3 linked regions of the Arabidopsis thaliana genome follow. The protein of the gene in region 2 interacts with the protein of the main gene of each other region in a pairwise test. Each region holds a gene or a part of one and is shown on either strand. Other genes may lie near its edges.

Region 1 (6,512 bases), on a different chromosome or scaffold from region 2:
GTCACGGAACATGTACCGACCGACGGCCGATTTCCATGATACAATAAAAAAATGAAAATTAGCAATCTCATAACATGCGACGACGATACTTATGGTGTTGCCACGTAGCAAGCATCTTCCTCTTAACCATGAGGTGTCGCAACCTCAGAGGACAACACGGACAAGACCGAGAAACCGCATACTAACGCTTGCAACGTAAAGCACAACACCCCTAAACTCCTATTTTTTTAATTTTCTTTTAACCTCAACACACCACGCAGCTATACACGTTTCAATGTGCTAATACGTGTCTTCTTCTCCGCCGACCAAGACACACTACAAATGTCCCGATGGTTTGGGGAGACAAATCACAGTTTCTACTACAACAACAAATACTTTTACGAAAAAAGCTTTTAAAACTTATCTAGTTTCGTTTGATACACATTTGAAGAAAGAAATGGCATCCAACCAACAGAGCTACAAAGCTGGTGAGACCAGAGGCAAGGCCCAGGTAATAAGAATATATTTTTGTGTATGTGTATACGTAAAACCACATTATATAAGCTCTAAGATGATTTGTCTGTGTAATACCAGGAGAAGACTGGACAAGCTATGGGAACGATGAGGGACAAGGCTGAGGAGGGCCGGGACAAGACTTCTCAAACGGCCCAAACAGCCCAACAGAAGGCCCATGAGACAGCCCAGTCAGCTAAAGATAAGACATCTCAAACTGCCCAAGCGGCTCAGCAGAAGGCCCATGAAACGGCCCAGTCAGCAAAAGAGAAGACATCTCAAACTGCCCAAACGGCACAGCAAAAGGCCCATGAGACGACGCAAGCAGCAAAAGAAAAGACATCTCAAGCTGGCGACAAAGCTCGCGAGGCCAAGGACAAGGCCGGGAGCTACTTATCGGAGACAGGCGAAGCCATAAAGAACAAGGCTCAAGACGCTGCTCAGTATACAAAGGAGACGGCTCAAGGTGCGGCACAGTACACAAAGGAGACGGCTGAAGCCGGTAGAGACAAGACGGGTGGATTCTTGAGCCAGACTGGTGAGCATGTTAAGCAAATGGCAATGGGTGCAGCTGATGCAGTGAAGCATACTTTTGGGATGGCTACTGAGGAAGAAGACAAAGAGCATTATCCAGGAAGTACTACTACCACTACTGCAACTACTCGAACCACTGATCCGACTCATCAGACTTATCAGAGGAAGTGATGAGAAAACAAAATTGAGAACGATATGAAAGTATCTTTGTGTTAGTTGGTCTTTTGAGTTTTGTGTTTGTGTTTTTGTAATTTCCGTTGTGTCTTTCTTTATGGTTGTGGTTCAGCTGTGTTTCTTGTTGTGACGGTGATCCTGGAGACTTCTAATTTCCAGCCAATAAGTTTAGATTTGATCCTGTTACAACTTATGTGTTCTCAAATTTCTATTTTTGTTACAATAAACAGTTATTAATACACATCATGGTCCACTTCGTATGTTGGTCATCAAGCATTAGCATTATACAGATATAGCTGCTAATCCAAACGGGTTTTACTAATCTTTCAATTTCTTTTATCAAAAATTTCAATAAAACATTTGTGTCTGCTTTTACGTTTTACGAATCGTTCAATTTCATAGATCTACTAAAATGAGAGAAGTAAACCAAAAAAATTGAATAGTAATTTATCTAAACCGAGCAAACCAAATAAATTTATCAAGACGTCAACGGACGTATACTTTGGTGACCATCCGAAACGACATCGTATAACATCTTAGGGTTATGAGTAATGACACGACGTCGTTCTCTGGGTCGGTCACTGGAGATGAAGAGAAGCGGTCGCGACATTGTAAAGATCTCTAGCTCCGTCCTTCTTCCTCGTAGCTACCCTCTCTAATCTTTTTTTCTCATTCCTGTTCTTGATAGTTTTCTAGACAGATTTCGATTAAACAAAACCGCGGAACACTTTGAAGAAATCTGCGTGATTTAGAGATGGCGGCTTCTTTATCGAGCAGACTTATAAAAGGAATCGCTAATCTCAAAGCTGTTCGTTCTAGCAGATTGGTTAGATTCTCTCATAACCCTTTTACTCAATTTTGATGTATCTAATGTTTGCTCAATAAAGTTTTCTCTTTTCCCATCTTGAATCACTTAAAAATTGCTCCTTTATATAACATTTGAGGTTCTGATTCTTTTGTTAGTTGAACCGGATTAGATAGTTACGTGAGCGTATGGTTTTGAATTATGTGAAAATGAATTTGTTTCCAATAGAAGATGGTATTGATGATCATTTGATAGTTGAATTTAACATGGAGAAGAATGATGTGGTTTTTGTTTGCAGACGTCTGCATCAGTCTACCAAAATGGGATGATGAGATTTTCCTCAACAGTGCCAAGTGATTCAGATACACATGATGATTTCAAGCCTACACAAAAAGTCCCTCCCGATTCTACGGACTCACTTAAAGATATCGTTGAGAATGTACACTCCAGCTTCTCTAGATTTGAAGTTGAATGTTTCTTTGTTAGGTGTTTGCTAATGCTGTTTTAGCTTTGGTGGTTGTGTAGGATGTGAAGGATAATCCTGTTATGATCTACATGAAAGGTGTCCCTGAATCTCCTCAGTGTGGGTTTAGCTCACTAGCCGTCAGAGTTTTGCAGCAATATAGTAAGTTTTGTTGAAATGTTGATTGAAACTGAAGAAGCCTTCTGTGAATTTTCTTTACTATTGGCGTTAGGCTCTGTGTTCTGATCTACTATCTTGTGATATCCTTCTTTAGATGTTCCTATCAGTTCTAGAAACATTCTAGAAGACCAAGAGTTGAAAAACGCTGTGAAATCCTTCAGGTGAGTATGTGGACACTTAATGAAAGTTTCATACAGAGAGTTGTATAATCTCATTCTCAAAGTTTTTTCATAAAGTTTGGCTTTGTTATTGAAGTTCGTTACCGTTCATTCCTTAATCTTTGACCTATATGATCTAGACCTCCCTTTGATTTTCAAGTCTTTATTTCTTTGCAGCCACTGGCCTACGTTTCCACAGATCTTCATTAAGGGAGAGTTCATTGGCGGCTCAGACATCATCCTTAACATGCACAAGGTTAGTTCCACTTAAAGCAGACCCTGTTTGACTTTTTTTTCCCCCGTTTCCATTGTGTTTGTTTAATCACAAGTCTCTTTTACTATTCTAGGAAGGTGAATTGGAGCAGAAGCTTAAAGACGTCTCCGGAAACCAAGATTGATCCAAAGTTTGGAAGTTATGCTGACGAGTGGAAGTTATTATGTTTTTGTTCTTTCTTTTCATAAGAATGTCTTTTCATGTACGGTAAAATAATGTCTCAGAAACTCAAAAATCTTTGGATTTCGTATGAATAAAAACTTTGGTAAACTAAGATAGCAAAATCAAAGAAGCCCAACGAGCCTTATTTATTTATTTTATTATTCATAATCAAGAATCGAACAGTAGAAAAGCATGAATAAATCACAAAACAGTAGAAACATGAGAGAACACCGTATACCCCAAGAAACCCCCCACCCCTTATATATATAATATAAATATTCTACACCATCGTATAATAGCTATAGAGATGCTGAGAAGATGCTTGTAAAGTTTAACGCGAACCCTCGAGACCAAGCCTTGAGACGAGCCAGTGAACCACCTCATCCATTTCTTTAGGAACCGTATAGTGACCAAGCCTACACAATCACATTAAAACCTCACAATCTCAGACTAAAACAACTAGATTGATAATGATAACTTTGGGATATAGGTTGAACAGTTACCCTTCATATGGTTTGAACATAGTTTGTCGGAATCCAGCCATGGCAAGTGAATGAGCAGATTTTTCTCCAAATCTATAAGGAACTACATCGTCCGCTGCAACCAAAAAACACATAAAGTGAATAAAATTCTAGATTCTCTTCGGTGATTTTATCTTGAAACAGTAAATCATATAATGATATATGTAAACATACAAGTTCCATGTGCAAGTAAGATCGGTATCGATGCAGCGCGCCTTGCAACCTCATTCGAACTTTCTATTTTGCTCCTTAAGCTCCTGCATTGTTATGTTTAAGCTTTCAATGTTAAGTCTCTGTGTTAACAAGTGACAAGAAAGGGTTGAAGACATATATTTATACCTCCAACCAGGAAGCCAACCGCTAAGTCCTACAGTAGCTCGTAGGTTTATAGTATAAGCATGTCCGGTTCCATAACGTCCAAGAGCGTAGCACGTCGTGGAGTAGAGAGCTATTGCTGCACCCATACTGAAACCTCCTATCCCAACTTTGACTGACACAAACCACAAATAACATTTTCAAGTTAAGCTAGAGATTATGATATATTATATCAAGACCTGTGACAAAGGAATGAAGATATATATAACTCATGGTTGGCTTACCATCTGTTGGCTCAGCAGATAATAGGTTAGCAATATGTGCAGCTGAAGCATCTAAGCCTTCTATATCATCATGAAGATCCTCAGAAATTTCTCCCACGTCAAACCCTGAGAGGAGCAAAGAAATTGGTTTTATTGGCAAACGCTTAAAATAATGTTTTGATGAAGTCTAGAGAAGCTAACTGAATGATCTTACAGGCAGTGCAAGGAAATCCACCGAGAAGCGAAACAGGACGCGAAGGAGCAGTTGGACAAATCCATTTGATCTGACAGAATACCATATATCTTTTATCAGAACCTTCACTAAGAATATTTAGTGATACAAAAAATTACTTCCAAGTTTGTTTCCATGGATCCTTACGTTTGGAAGAGGTAGGCTTTCCAATAGCTGAGACGAGCTGCAGAAAGAAACAGAGCCAAAGTGAGAAGTTGTTATCAAAGAACACGCCAAAATTCTACTTTCTAAAGCTCATTTTATTTGTAGTAGTCAATTAAACCAAAAAGTTAAAGCTTTTCATAACACATTTATACTTGAAACTGTTCAACTAACAGAGGAAAAGTGTTAAGTTTTGTCCTAAGAAGAGTTTGTTTTGATATCTATTAAAGTCATTTAGGCATTGTTTTGACAAGTATGACTTTAAGCTTTCAAAGCATAAAACTTTCTTTATTACTTGATTTTGTTCATAAAAACAAGGCAAGTGAGATAGTATTATAATACCTGGAGCCATTGTCTCCAAGACCGTGCAACCAAACAATAGTAGCTTGGTGCTTTCCTTTAGGCCTCACAACATAAGTCCTTCCAAACTCATAGCCCCTTGTACTTCTACTACCTACAAAAGATTTTGCCAGAAACATATATAAAGCAGAGTAATCACATAAGCACACAAGTGACACACTTAAGATAATACTAACATGAACCAAACAAGTAAGTGAGAAACAAACCAGAACCCATGCTTTGACGAGAATAGCTCATTGTTGTTGTTCAATGATCTTTTTTCACCACAATTTAGAGACTTTGTTGTGATATAGTAGTTAAAAGTTTGAAATACCAATGGAAAATATAAGAGAAGGTAAGGGAGGGGAAATGTGTATTTATAGAGCAAATTTGGAGGTGTGATGGTGAGAGGAAGGAATAAAAGAAAAGAAATGTGAATCTGAATCATTCACTATGGGATGTTAAATGTGTACAACAGCTACACAAAAAAAAAAACTATACTAGTCGTAGTCTAAGAGAAGGCATCCATGGAAAGAGACAATCAATTTTCTTCTCTTTTTCTCGTTATAAAAACAAAAGAAATAAATCTTTTTGGGAACACAAGGAATCAAAATCAAAACCAGAGCAGAGCTAGCGGCAAAACTACACAGAGGAGAGAGAGAGAAAGAGAGAATCAATGCCTTGTGGCAGTGGAGGAAAATAAAAACTCTACCGCGTAAAAGAATATATTATAGCATAACACAAGTATGTATATATATTACAAGAAACATGAGGGCATAATCCAAAATTGAAAAAGAAAGAAAAAATCTACTTGTTCAATCATTTGTTTAATGAAATATATATGAAAAACAAAAGTGAGATGATTGATGGATACCCATTAACCAGAAAGCTTAAAAAGTCTGAAACTTTACGAGAAAAAATAAAAGATTTAAAAATTTGCATTACACAATGTACAAAGGAAAAGGAATTACATATTTTATTTTAGGGTTCTTGGATTTGAGAAATCTGAGAGCACTGAGTGTAATGATGATGCGTAAGAAACATAAGTGACCAAGCTGGATTTTCATGTGGAGCATGCAGCAATAAACCAAAAAAGACTTTGATCTTTTCTCTATCTCCTTTCAACGCTTCTTTCATTACTCTGCCCTCTCTTGTTTGCCACTGTTGCTTTTTGTCCAGCAAAATTGGCTGACGATATCAAGCCCACTTATTTCACCTATTTCTCATTTTCTTCATGGTATATAGATTTTAAAAAAATGTACTGCGATTATTAGAGTATGTTTTAAAGCATCTGATAAGATGTAAATTTGCATGAAATTATTTGACCAGATCATCTAGTCTACTATTTTGCATTAATGTAGTTGTTGTGTTCAAATTATAGAAATAAAGAGACGAATATCAAGTGAACACTGAACAACGAACATGGTTACATTACATG
Region 2 (5,759 bases):
GAAGGAGACGCATTTTTTTATAATCTTTTTGACCGAATCATTGTGGATACGCATGAGCTGTTTTGTTTAATTATTGTATTAAAATATGTATACATAGCCTTTAATGGTAATTAATATTGGTATATTTTAAGGGAACAAGACAAGATTAGGCTTAAATAATAAGATCAATTTTCTTTTCTTTATCCATTTCTTAAGTACTTTTATTGGTGTGTGTTTTTAATCGAGTGTCCATTGAGAAGACTCAAGTGACAAAGATGATTCACCAAGCAACTCCACATGTATGTCACAACATTTCATTAAATACTTTTCTCTTACTCCTATTTAATAATTACTCCTTAGATACATCTTTCTGACAACAATTATAAACTTTTTTAGAATTACTAAAATGAAACTACTGGCACAAATTGAAACCCCCGAAATTTTCATTTTTTATTTATAAAAAAAACTGTATAAACATTATGGTCAACAATAAATTATATACCAAATCTAGTTTTGGTTTGTTAACTATTTAATACCTAACTTATAACCAAAAAGCATGTCATTATCACTTTTAAACTCTTCATTTAATCTAATCGAATAAAATGTTTAAATAACTCCATCTTTTATGGAGTACATTTTATTTTTCTATTTCTATTCATTCATTCCGTGCTTTACACATCAACGTTGAAATTAAGAACCAAAATTTAATTTAAAAAATCACGTAATACAGTAAAACCTATCAATAAATGCATACGATGCGACTTGCCACTGAAAAGAGTTTGAACCATATTAATCTTATTTCTCCTTAACCGGATTCGGTTTACCATAGACCAAACCCAAAACCGGCTTCAACTAATTACACTCAATTCCTCGGGAGATTGTTAATTAAACAGTAAACAACCCTCTGACTCACTAGACTTCTGAATCTTTCACAAAAGAATACGTCTTTGTAGGCTTTTGCTTTCTACCGTTGCTTACAAGCTTCCTCTCCACCGGATTCTCCTTCAATTCTCCATCTTTATTTGTGTAATAAGAATCCAGAATTTGCAATAACGAGCTCTCTTTACCTTCTTTACTCATCATCTGTTGCTTCTTCTTCTCTGGGTTATCTCTCTCTGAACCAGAATCTTCTTCATCCTCTGAGAGTGATGGTTCATATACTGGAAGCTTTTTGGTCGTCGGGTGGGTAGTTGTTGTATCAGAAACTGGACCAAGTTCTGCGAATGCCAAGTCCGAATCATCTTCTTTTGACTTGGCATTTGGTGAAGGAGTTGAAGGAAAGATGTATCCAGATGCTATTCTCACTCCATGCATGACTCGAATCAGAGACTGCAGGTTGTCGTAACCGAGCTTGTCAACCGCTAAATGGTACCCATACTCCTCTAAGAAGTCTTTCCTGAAACGAATCAGGCTATACCCTTCAGGGTGTTCCTCTGTTATCTTCTTTATCATCTTCTGACAATCCGCTATTGCATTACTTTTGTATCTTTCCAGCTCTTTCCGGTCCACAGAACCAACAGAAACTCCAGCATGAGCAACGTTCTTGCCGCTTTTCTCACCATTTTGTTTCTGCCACTGTGATTTTGAAGAATCCGAGAAGATTGAGCTCAAACCGTTTGAAGCATGACGGTGGCCAGGGCTAGATCCTTTGATGATTCTGAATGGTAAAGAAGAAGATGGGGTTTCTTCAATCCATTTCTTTTCTGATATTAGCAAAGTAACTAAATGAAGCATGCTTGATTCATCGAGCAGTCTGAGACACGAAGGCCCTTCCTCCTGCACATTTTTAGCCATCACCTCCCTGACCAGGTTAAGACGGAACAGCATTAGCTGAATACTCGTCCCAAAAAAGACAACAAATGGCTAATGCAAGAACCAATTGTAATAGTTCTGAACCTAAGATAGATTTACATATTAATCAATATCTAATCAAAGTCCTGCCAAATCAGGAGGGAAGAGAATGTACGCACCTTGTCCTCGAGTGAGATACTATAGCAAAGCCTCTTGGAGAATTAATGAAAGATTCAATATCACTCCAAAAATACTCTTTTGCAAATATGTCTTGTACTTGAGAATCAACATTGACAAGCTCCTGATTCCCACTAGAGTCTTTGCTAGACTTTGTATTCTTTCCCCAGAACTTGAAACTCTTCAAAAGGCGACCTAAAAAGCCTGGACTTGCATCTTTATCTTTACTGTCTACGTCATCAGCTCCAACTTTTACCTCATCGACCGACTCAGCAACGAAAGAAGGTGAGATTTGAGACATGGGCACAGTTCCCTGACTCGATGACTTTAAGTCCTTATCCTCTTTATGTTTGTTTCCACTTCCCTGACTTGATGACTTTAAGTCATTATCCTCTCTATGTGTGTCTCCACTTCCAGAAACGCTCTTCATTTCTGGGAGATGCTCTAATTCCATCTCAGGTGAACCATACCACAGTCTTTTTAGCTTTTGAAAAAAGCCATCTTCCATGGACGAATCACTCCACGCAACAAGAGCGACTTGATTCGTCTCGACGGGTTTAACATTTGCCTTAACATCCTTCTGGCCGACCAGAATTGGGTCTTGAGAACTCTCTGATGATTCTTCTTTAACAATTTTATCACTCTCCAATACCTTTTCCTGCTTCTTTCCAAGTAAGCCATCTCTTCTTCTTTCAGCAGCAAGCTCTACATCGCTAATTAGCTTTGGTGATGGAGCATTAACAGTTTCCTTATCTTTAATCTTCTGATCAACAGCAGTAGACAAACGAGGACTAGAATCAAGCCGCATCGGAGGCTTCTTTTCGGTAACAGCCCGAATCATAAACAAGCCTTCACTTACTGTAGTAACCTGTAAGATATCTGGCATGGATAAAAGAAACTTCGAAAACTTCTTATGTCCATAGAAATCTTTATCAATAGCCAAGTTGCTCTTACTCAGCTCAGCACGTAGTTCTGTAATGGCAGCCCCCTTGGGATATAAACTCACTATCGAACGAATCTTATCAACAACTTCTTTTGGAATAGGACGAAGGTTAACAACAGCATTCGAATTCACAGACTCGGATAGTTCTTCGATTTTCACACTAGACGAAGATTGCTCAGTAGTGGTAGCAATAGCAAATGGATCAAGAAGAGGAATCCTATAGTGACCATACCAAGAGTTATAAGGACCATCAGGAGGCTGATTAAAATGCTTACCAGTAACACACTCTCCTTTAATCAAAGCATCCCAATCCCACATAATAGAAGCAGCACTACACAAAACACCAGGAGCTGATGATTTACTCGCAAGCAAAATGTTGTAATTGTTCATCCTCAATCTATGTAACACACTTGCAAACTCCTTATCACTAGAGATTAGCAAAAGATGAGCTGGTGGTGGATTCTGAGAAACCCAACACATAAGATCTGTGATTAGAGATCTATCAGCACTGTTCTTACCACCGTTAGGAACATGAGTGAGACTGATTCCTGTAGCGGAGAGAGCGTCTTGGTTTGATCTGGGGAGCTGTAAAACGTCACCGAAGGCTGTGATTGTGATTGGTCCTTTGATTCCGCTGTTTCTGATAGCGGCGGTGATTGATTGTGCTACTTTGTAGACATTGGTGTCTACAGGTAAGTTACAGCTCAGGAAGTCCCACCAGACCGAAACCCTAACGGATCGGGACTCTTCGTCTTGCTGAGGACGTCGAGAGGGAGAATGGCTGGATCCGGAGACGAAATTGGAGCCGGAGGTGGTTGTGGTGGAGAATGGAGAGGAATGAATGTTAGTGATGAAAAGGGTAATTGTTCGACGGTGAGATTGGGTTGTGGAGGAAGAAGAGAGGCGGAAGAGAAGGGATTTGGATGGTAAAGATCCAAACTTCATGGTCGGAGAGCTATTTTTGCTCCGGGAAATGGAGAGACTGAGAGGGTTTTAGGAGTGAGGAAGACGAAGTAAAGGAAAGCAGAGCTTAAACCCTAGTTATTATTTTGGAATTGTCGATAACCGAATGGTATCCCAATTGAACCAAACTAAACCGTACTCTCGCTAAACCAAAACCAAATAGCGTATGGTTTAATATTCTAATTCAATGAGTACAGTAATTAGGGATTTCAATTTTTGTTTGAGAGAGAGAGAGAGAGATGGTGACGAAGGAGCAAGTCGAAGCTTCATTGACTTCGAAACTTAAGCCAATTCATCTCGTGAGTGTTCTTATACTGCTTTCTTCTTTCAATTTCATCTATTGATTAGGGTTTGAAACTTTTGTGGGAAACTTTGAAACCCTAATCATCAAATTGATCTGGGAAAATTGCCAAATTTGAGATTTTTGACCTGCTCACTTTGATCAAAATCATACACTTTGATAGTTGGATCATAAGAGGTACTATGTATTGTAATAATCTCAGCATCTAGATTATACATCACTATGTGTTGTCTTTCAGCTCTGAAACAGAATATAAAAGGTGGTTGTTTGCGTAGTTAGGTGTAATTTGATGCAGTGTGATACTGAGCTCAGGATTTGATGACGTAGTGTTCCTGATGTATTAGCAACTTAGTAGTGAGTGTTCTTGTCGGAAAATTTTATTTGTGTCATGGTTTTTTGTGAACTAGAACTCAAAAAGCAGATCCAAGGATGTGTATAGTTTCTTTGCTTTATAACATGTGAAGATTGAAGTTACTTCAATGTCAATCTATTTCCCTTTTCACTTGATTCATGTGTTCCAATTGTTTCAATCTTTAGCTTTTAGAATTTTTTAGTGACATTGTTTGTTTTTGTGTGTACCAGGAAGTCATTGACATATCTGGAGGGTAAGTACCGGATTGTCAATACACATTTGATTCTCTGGCTTATGGCATAATTTCTTGTTCTTAATATCAGCAAAACTGTTTATTGCAGTTGTGGTTCGAGTTTTGAAGTGGAGGTTGTCTCTGAACAATTCGAAGGGAAGAGATTGCTGGAGAGGCATCGTATGGTGAATGCTGCGCTAGAAGAAGAAATGAAAGAGATTCATGCTCTCTCTATTAAGAAAGCTCAGACTCCACAACAATGGAAGCCACCATCACAAGACTCTGCAACCTTAACCAAAGATGCCTGAATTTCTGTTTTTTAAAAGCCTTGTGACAAAGAACAGAGCATTTACTATGTTGATACTTTGTGGTTACTGTACTCCGATTACTGCTTTTGATGAAGTGTAAACACTTTTTTAAAACATATGCAATTGGTTGCAAAATATAACAAAAATTGGGTTTTTCTCAATTTAGATGGAGATTTTTTTGAGAATTTTACCATGACACCATCTTAAAAAAGAAAAAAAAGACCAATGGGATTGGCTAAATTTTATAATAGAGTCAGTGCAGTGTATGGTGGGGGGGAGAGATAGATGCTAAAAGATGGATAAAATAACCAAAAAAAACTGTCCATTCTCCTCCCCATAAATCTATCTCTCTCTCTTTTTCCTCAAATCCCATCTTCTTCTTCTACTTCTTATTAAGCTCCATTGGGTTTAGAGATTCTGGTGTATAAACTGCTAATGACGAGTAACCTTTTCCAGCCACCATCAATGGCAGCTTCACGAGGAGCAATCTCGAGAAGAACAGGAAACGTGAAAGTATTAGTCTCTTTCACCAGTTCTAATGGCAAAACGCTGAGTTTTAGTGACAACTCATTTAGGCTCAGACCCATGTTCATCGGGAAAGTCACAGAACAGAGTTCTTGTTCCTCCCCAAATGAACAACAACAAGATGAAGAACAAGAACAAGAACAAGAAGAGATTACAGTTTCTCATATAAAAGAAGAGCTCTACGAAGC
Region 3 (6,378 bases), on a different chromosome or scaffold from region 2:
AAATCACTCATGTTCAAGGGTCCACATTGTTCATCTTACACATTACCAAAGTCTGCAAAAACTAGGGTTTGTTCCTTTCACATGCCTATGTCTGTTAGATGAACTACCTCTCGTGAAAAGAAAAAAAATATATTCCTCTACACTAAACACAAGAAAGAAGAAACCAACAAACACTTGTATTTACCACAAACAATTTTCAAAGATTTCATTTACGTATAAGTCAATTTTCCAAGTCCAAAGTTTAGGATAGATACGTAATCAAATAAATAATAGACAATGTATGTTATAAAAGTAGGAACTAGTACTTCTCTATCAAGTAACTAACTATACAAGCTCATCAAGTTTTTTTTTTCTTTAATGTAATTTGTTTATAGTTTATCAAGTTTTAGTTCTTATATATACTCAAATATGTACGTAAAGAAAAAATAATTCGAATGTACTGGATTTAATCATTGGGATGGTAAAGTTTCGAATGGAACACTACTGTACCCATATCTCTATATCCCTTTTTATGTACCTGCAACCCCACACACACATATATATATATAGTATGGGCATTTTAGTTCCAATCCGGCTAGAGATTCATTCTGATTATGTATAATATTTATAATGTTTCTAGTATTTAGAAATTTGATATTTCTGTGTAAAATTTCTTACACAATATTTTTTCTTATCATTAGATTTTGTAAGCAAATACAAACCTTAACTAGCTAGCTTAATACATTATTTTTGAGTTGTGTAGAAGAATTCCGAAATTCCACATATGTAAATGCCTAAAATAATTAAAAAGAAATAGATATTTAGATCATTCGCTCGGATACAGATTGGATACGAATATCTGAATTTTCTTAAGTGTTTGATTTGTACCAATCGTTAGTATTTACTCATACACGCATGGATGGACACAGACAACACTAGGAACTTGTACAAATGAGAGTACTTGCCAATTCTTTTAGTCAGTTTTATAATATAATTGTTTATAATTAAAATGAGTTATGTTTTGTGTGGTGCATGTATATAATATTTAATACATGTATGTGTGCATATATTTATGTATGTCAATGCAACAAAGATTTGGGCTTATAAATGAATGAAGAAAATGTTGGTGGGATATGGACAAAAACAAATTGGAGAAACAATGAAATAATTCGAACCCATGACGTTACAACTAGTCAAAAGTCCCCACATGATCTTATCAAACGTAGGTCCATGGATGAGTTGTTTTCGATATCATAAATTTCTCACGAATTTTGTTATATGGCCTTTAAGTGTAAAATGACAAAACTTGCCAAACAAATCATAGACCCAATGCAATTTAGATATCATTGGTGAATGGTTATAGTAAGTTTAATAGCTTTCAATTCAAAATCAATTGAAATGAATGGCTTGACTTATGTTACTTAGTTATTATTATTAATTTCATGATATTTCTTATGTGAGATTCGTAACATGTTTCTTCAAAATAATTCATCTTTCATCTCATCTTGTATGATATCATGATGAGTGAGATATGATTTGTTTTCAAGTCTTATAAAGCCTATTAGGCCCAGAACCACGAATACTTTTCAGAGAAGAAAACGCCCATTAGTAATAGTATAGGCCCATTAAGTATTAGAATAACAAAAATTCAGATTTTTTTTGTTGGTCACGAAAATTTAGCTTTTTAATTTAATAAAAGAAAAATGGGAAAAGAGGACAAGTCACGTCACGAGACAAATTAGCATAGCACGCAAAGAAGAAGAAGAAGAAGAAGCTCCAAGAATCTGTCGCAGAAATCGCCATGGCAGTCACAGCATTTAACACATTGAAACTTGTATCGTCGTCTCTAGATCCGATTCCTTCAGTCTCTTGTTCTTCTTATTCCTTCTCTCTGATATATGTCGGATCTCCTTACAAGAGATGTCTAAAGCAGTCATGTTCTGTTCGAGCTATGACTTCTTCTTCTTCGGCTGCATCGTCTTCTTCTTCGTCCTTTGGATCGAGAATGGAAGAGAGTATTAGGAAAACAGTGACTGAGAACACTGTCGTTATTTACTCCAAAACTTGGTGCTCGTATGTTCACTACTCTCTTTCGTTATCAGTTTTAATTAGGATTTGTTTTATTTCTTTCTTTTTGCTTAATTGGAGAATGGGTTTATCAAATATCCTTGTAAATTTTCGTTTTTACTGTTATTCAGATCTTAATGTTTCTGTTGATAATTTGTTGGTGTTTGGTGTGTATTGAAGATACTGTACTGAAGTGAAGACATTGTTCAAGAGACTTGGGGTTCAGCCACTGGTTGTTGAATTGGATCAACTTGGTATGTTTGCATTTCCTTAACATTTCTATCTTTTTTTTCCATAGCTTAGCTTGAGTAATTGATTTGATCATGATAATACTATATCATGGCTTTAGATAGATGATGAGGTAATGCTTGTTAGTTTTTAAAAGTATCCATTAGTATTGCCTTTAACCTTTAGATTTTGGTTACATATGCATATTACTATTCTAGTTTATGTTGTGGCATTTAGACTCGTTGAAAGAATGCAAGTCTTGTTTACCTTCTGAGTGATTTAGTTTTTCAGATTCGAATGAGTTTACATGTTTATCTTTAACTTTTCTTTCTGGACCATTGGGTTGAAAATGTACATTTTGGGGATTCTTGTTTGCCTTTGATATTTGTTGTAACCTGCTTTTGTTTCTCACTAGTCCATACTTGTATATATCATAAAAGTAAATGTGTCTCTCTCTTTGAGAACAGTTGAAGATGCAATTGTCAAAATGTTTGGTGATTTTGGACAACAAAGAATGATTTGTTATGTTCTATCTAAAGTTCTGTTTGACTAAACTATGTTTGGTTAATTTCAGGTCCACAAGGGCCACAACTGCAGAAGGTACTGGAAAGACTTACTGGGCAACACACTGTTCCTAATGTTTTCGTATGTAAGTAGTTTAATCCGTTTACATCGATCATATCTTCATTGAAACTCTGTTTTCCTTATATATCCTACCTGCTTCAAAAGATGAAACCTTTAGATGTCCCAAAGAAGTGAACAACATAGTTTCAGTTAATAGCTAGTCATAACAGTGTCTAATCTTTGTCCTAATGAGCAGGTGGCAAGCACATTGGTGGCTGCACAGGTACTTTCCTCCTTCTCTTCTCACCTCTTTGGTTTCTTCTACTTCTCAAATGTGAGATGCCTCAGTTTTGGATATTGTTTCACTCAACTATTGGCATTATCTTCTTGTTCTTGTGCTACAGATACAGTGAAGCTTAACAGGAAAGGAGATCTGGAACTGATGTTAGCTGAAGCCAACGGTAAAAACGGTCAGAGTTGAGGAGATGTTGAAACTGGTTCGGAGATTTTTGCATACGGAGCTTGGAAAGTTTTCTCATTTTTGTTATTATCATTGTACCTCATTTGAATACAATAATTATAGTTAATAAATAACATATACATATCATGTAATTGTTGATCTCTCTTTGTTTTTCACCACTTGAATTCACAGTTTTCAAGCCTTCAGAGTAATCCAAATATTACCAATCCCAGGCTGATAAATAAAGAAGGAAAAAAGTGGCCTAATATATATTCTAGAAAATCCAAAATCAGAGAGAAGCGTGGCAAGTTTAGGATCACAGGTCAATAGAGTGAAAAATGATCCCAAACTGAAAAGAGATGTCATCTTCTGAAACAGGGGAAGTTGCAGAGAATCTAGCGAGACCAATGGCTACTCTGGTCTCGTCTCAAACTTACATCTACCATTGTCATATTAGTAAACAAGCTCTTTATCAGGCAAAAGAATCATACTCTCATCGTAGAATTTCCCGTCATAATCACAGAGAAAGACTCGATTTTTCTCATAGAAACCATAGATTGACAATAACTAGAAAGCAGCAACCTTTGTCTTTCAACACCGTGTGTTTTGCCGCAGACGAGCCCTCCGAAATCAGGTAAACTTCGACTTCTTCTAACCTTATTAAATTGGGGTTCGTCTTTAGATTTGAATGAATTATGGTTTAGGTTCTATCTGTGTCGTTGTTGAATCAATTTTAGTACTTGGTAGGTTTATGCTCATTGACATGATGAAAGGTTAAAACTTTGAATGCAAGAATGTTATCTCACACCTTGTGTAATGTCACAGCTAAGTTATCTCTGTTTATGGTTTCAGTGCTGATGCTAGAATCCGTAGTGAGGTTCTGTCTCCGTTCAGATCAGTCCGTATGTTCTTCTACCTCGCCTTTATAGCAAGCGGTTCATTAGGAGGACTAATAGCCACTTCTAGGCTCATAGGTGCCCTGGCGAATCCGGCTAGATCAGGTGAAGTTCTTGAGATCGTTAAGGGTTTGGGAGTTGACATTGGTGCTGCTTCTCTCTTTGCGTTCCTATACTTCAACGAAAACAAGACCAAGAACGCGCAAATGGCTAGGCTCTCGAGGGAAGAGAATCTTGGCAAACTCAAAATGAGAGTCGAAGAGAACAATAAGGTAATCTCCGTAGGTGATCTGAGAGGGGTTGCTAGGCTTGTGATCTGTGCTGGTCCTGCGGAGTTTATTGAAGAAGCGTTTAAGAGAAGTAAAGAGTATACACAAGGGCTCGTGGAGAGAGGTGTGGTTGTGGTGGCTTATGCTACGGATGGGAATTCACCGGTTTTGGAGTTTGATGAAACTGACATTGCGGATGAAGAAATGAGCCAGAGAAGGAAGAAACTGTGGCGGGTGACTCCGGTTTTTGTCCCGGAATGGGAAAAGTAAGAATCTTTCCTTAAAGATAGTGAAACCCGAGTTGAAAAAATCGAATTTGAGAGTGTTCATATTTTTTGTTGCGTGAACAGGTGGTTAAATGAGCAGAAGAAGCTTGCCAATGTTTCCTCAGACTCTCCAGTGTAAGTAGTTCTTTGCATTTGCTCTGAAACCGGTTTAAACTGAATATTGCACCGGTTCTTGAGCTGAATATGAGTGTTTTTGCGTAAAGACAATCGATTTAAACCGCGTTTTGCAATCGGTGATACGGAATTGTTGTTGATATTAGGTATTTGTCTCTGCGTTTGGATGGGCGTGTAAGGGCAAGTGGAGTGGGTTATCCTCCATGGCAAGCCTTCGTTGCACAGCTTCCTCCGGTTAAGGGAATGTGGACCGGTCTTCTTGACGGTATGGATGGTAGAGTGTAAATACTCTAATACTTAGGGATAAAGTCATATGTTTTTTAGTCTCCTATAAATTTTATAAAATGTATAGTTATGAAAAGATTTTGACTTCAAAATTATTATTTTCACTTCGTGGTTAGTCCGAATGAATGAATTCAGAAGCAAAGTGTTTGTGTTTAGTTTTTAAGGTGTTTACCAAGGGAAATTGTACCGGTTTCAGAATGAATATGAAGACGGTTAAGAGAGCTAACCATGAGTAGAAAGAGACTTTTAACTGAATTTTCCAAACACATTCTGTGAAAGAATAAGAAAACCGGCTCGAGATTCAGATGAGGAGAAATAATTGGTAAACTTTTGCGGTACATACGGTTTGGGTCAAGTTACAAACGGATAAACCGGTATAGAATACACAGAGTTTTTGAATTCTCCCATTTAAGCTGCAACTTCTTCGACCTCATCCAATGCATAGTTGTTGGTCGATATGTTGGCGTAATTGACTTTTGCGAACCGGACCACAACCGGGTATCGAGTCTTAGGGTCCTGCACAATTTATAACCCTGGTCAAGAAACTAAACAAAACCGGCATGGTGAAAGATATTCATACGACCGTTAGATCGTTGATTGGAGACTAAATGCGTTACCTGATCAACGGCAACAACTGATCCAACGTTCTTGAACCAATAGGATTCTCTCCTTAGAATCTTGACCTACGAATCCCAACAATTTATATCAAGATAAGAAACGATTGATTATGAACAAAATATGTGGTTACAAGTCACACACACATAAACATGCAATTAGATTTGAACCATGTTATGAACATAAGATGTGGTGAAATTTAATTTTTTGTCACTAATTATACAATTTTTGCATAGCGATTAACTGATTATGAACAAAAATTACAAGTTCACAATTAACGATTCCTACTAGCTAGCTAGTTACGTTGTGTAATTGGCAGATTCATTTTGTCATTTCACCATTCTGCAGATTTACCAATAAGAACTCAAATAAAATTTGCTCATATACATGAATGCATCCATCGATAAGTAACTTTGGCTTATGCGTATATATATACAAGCTAATGGAATTTAAGACGGTTTAGGTTAGCTGACCTTAGACCCTCTCTTAGGACCAATCGGTGGTGGCTTGGGTTTGGTGGCAGTAGCTCCATCCGGAGCAGCGGCAGCTGCCGGAGAATCTTTTGAAGAAGAGGAAGCCGGAGCAGGATCTTCGGCTGCCCTGACTACGAGCCT

What was found. The genes of interacting proteins can lie anywhere in the genome.
Region 1: the proteins of AT5G09830 (region 2) and GRX4 interact in a two-hybrid assay, tested with the Arabidopsis thaliana proteins (2 studies listed by BioGRID).
Region 3: the proteins of AT5G09830 (region 2) and GrxC5 interact in a two-hybrid assay, tested with the Arabidopsis thaliana proteins (one study listed by BioGRID).

The regions. Positions count from the first base shown.
Region 1 is NC_003074.8:5,304,826-5,311,337, reverse strand, and holds GRX4 (glutaredoxin 4), read left to right. Parts: upstream 1-1,713; 5' UTR 1,714-1,954; coding exon 1,955-2,026; intron 2,027-2,303; coding exon 2,304-2,444; intron 2,445-2,530; coding exon 2,531-2,630; intron 2,631-2,742; coding exon 2,743-2,809; intron 2,810-2,983; coding exon 2,984-3,062; intron 3,063-3,153; coding exon 3,154-3,204; 3' UTR 3,205-3,573; downstream 3,574-6,512. Other genes in the region: AT3G15670 (Late embryogenesis abundant protein (LEA) family protein), read left to right, coding at 437-490, 574-1,197; AT3G15650 (alpha/beta-Hydrolases superfamily protein), read right to left, coding at 3,574-3,658, 3,746-3,839, 3,938-4,020, 4,103-4,253, 4,363-4,467, 4,556-4,625, 4,721-4,814, 5,078-5,189 and 1 more.
Region 2 is NC_003076.8:3,057,103-3,062,861, reverse strand, and holds AT5G09830 (BolA-like family protein), read left to right. Parts: upstream 1-4,036; 5' UTR 4,037-4,092; coding exon 4,093-4,152; intron 4,153-4,736; coding exon 4,737-4,759; intron 4,760-4,847; coding exon 4,848-5,046; 3' UTR 5,047-5,259; downstream 5,260-5,759. Other genes in the region: AT5G09840 (Putative endonuclease or glycosyl hydrolase), read right to left, coding at 892-1,780, 1,950-3,835; AT5G09820 (Plastid-lipid associated protein PAP / fibrillin family protein), read left to right, coding at 5,482-5,759. UniProt on the Arabidopsis thaliana protein: May act either alone or in interaction with glutaredoxin as a redox-regulated transcriptional regulator, or as a factor regulating Fe-S cluster biogenesis. The GRXS17-BOLA2 heterodimer binds a labile, oxygen sensitive iron-sulfur cluster.
Region 3 is NC_003075.7:14,197,394-14,203,771, forward strand, and holds GrxC5 (Glutaredoxin family protein), read left to right. Parts: upstream 1-1,649; 5' UTR 1,650-1,780; coding exon 1,781-2,052; intron 2,053-2,226; coding exon 2,227-2,300; intron 2,301-2,848; coding exon 2,849-2,923; coding exon of another isoform or gene 2,924-2,931; exon of another isoform or gene 2,932-3,094; coding exon 3,095-3,121; intron 3,122-3,242; coding exon 3,243-3,319; 3' UTR 3,320-3,510; downstream 3,511-6,378. Other genes in the region: AT4G28740 (LOW PSII ACCUMULATION-like protein), read left to right, coding at 3,658-3,932, 4,151-4,729, 4,814-4,864, 5,011-5,149; PSAE-1 (Photosystem I reaction centre subunit IV / PsaE protein), read right to left, coding at 5,558-5,665, 5,767-5,832, 6,238-6,378. UniProt on the Arabidopsis thaliana protein: Has a glutathione-disulfide oxidoreductase activity in the presence of NADPH and glutathione reductase. Reduces low molecular weight disulfides and proteins. Can assemble a [2Fe-2S] cluster, but cannot transfer it to an apoferredoxin.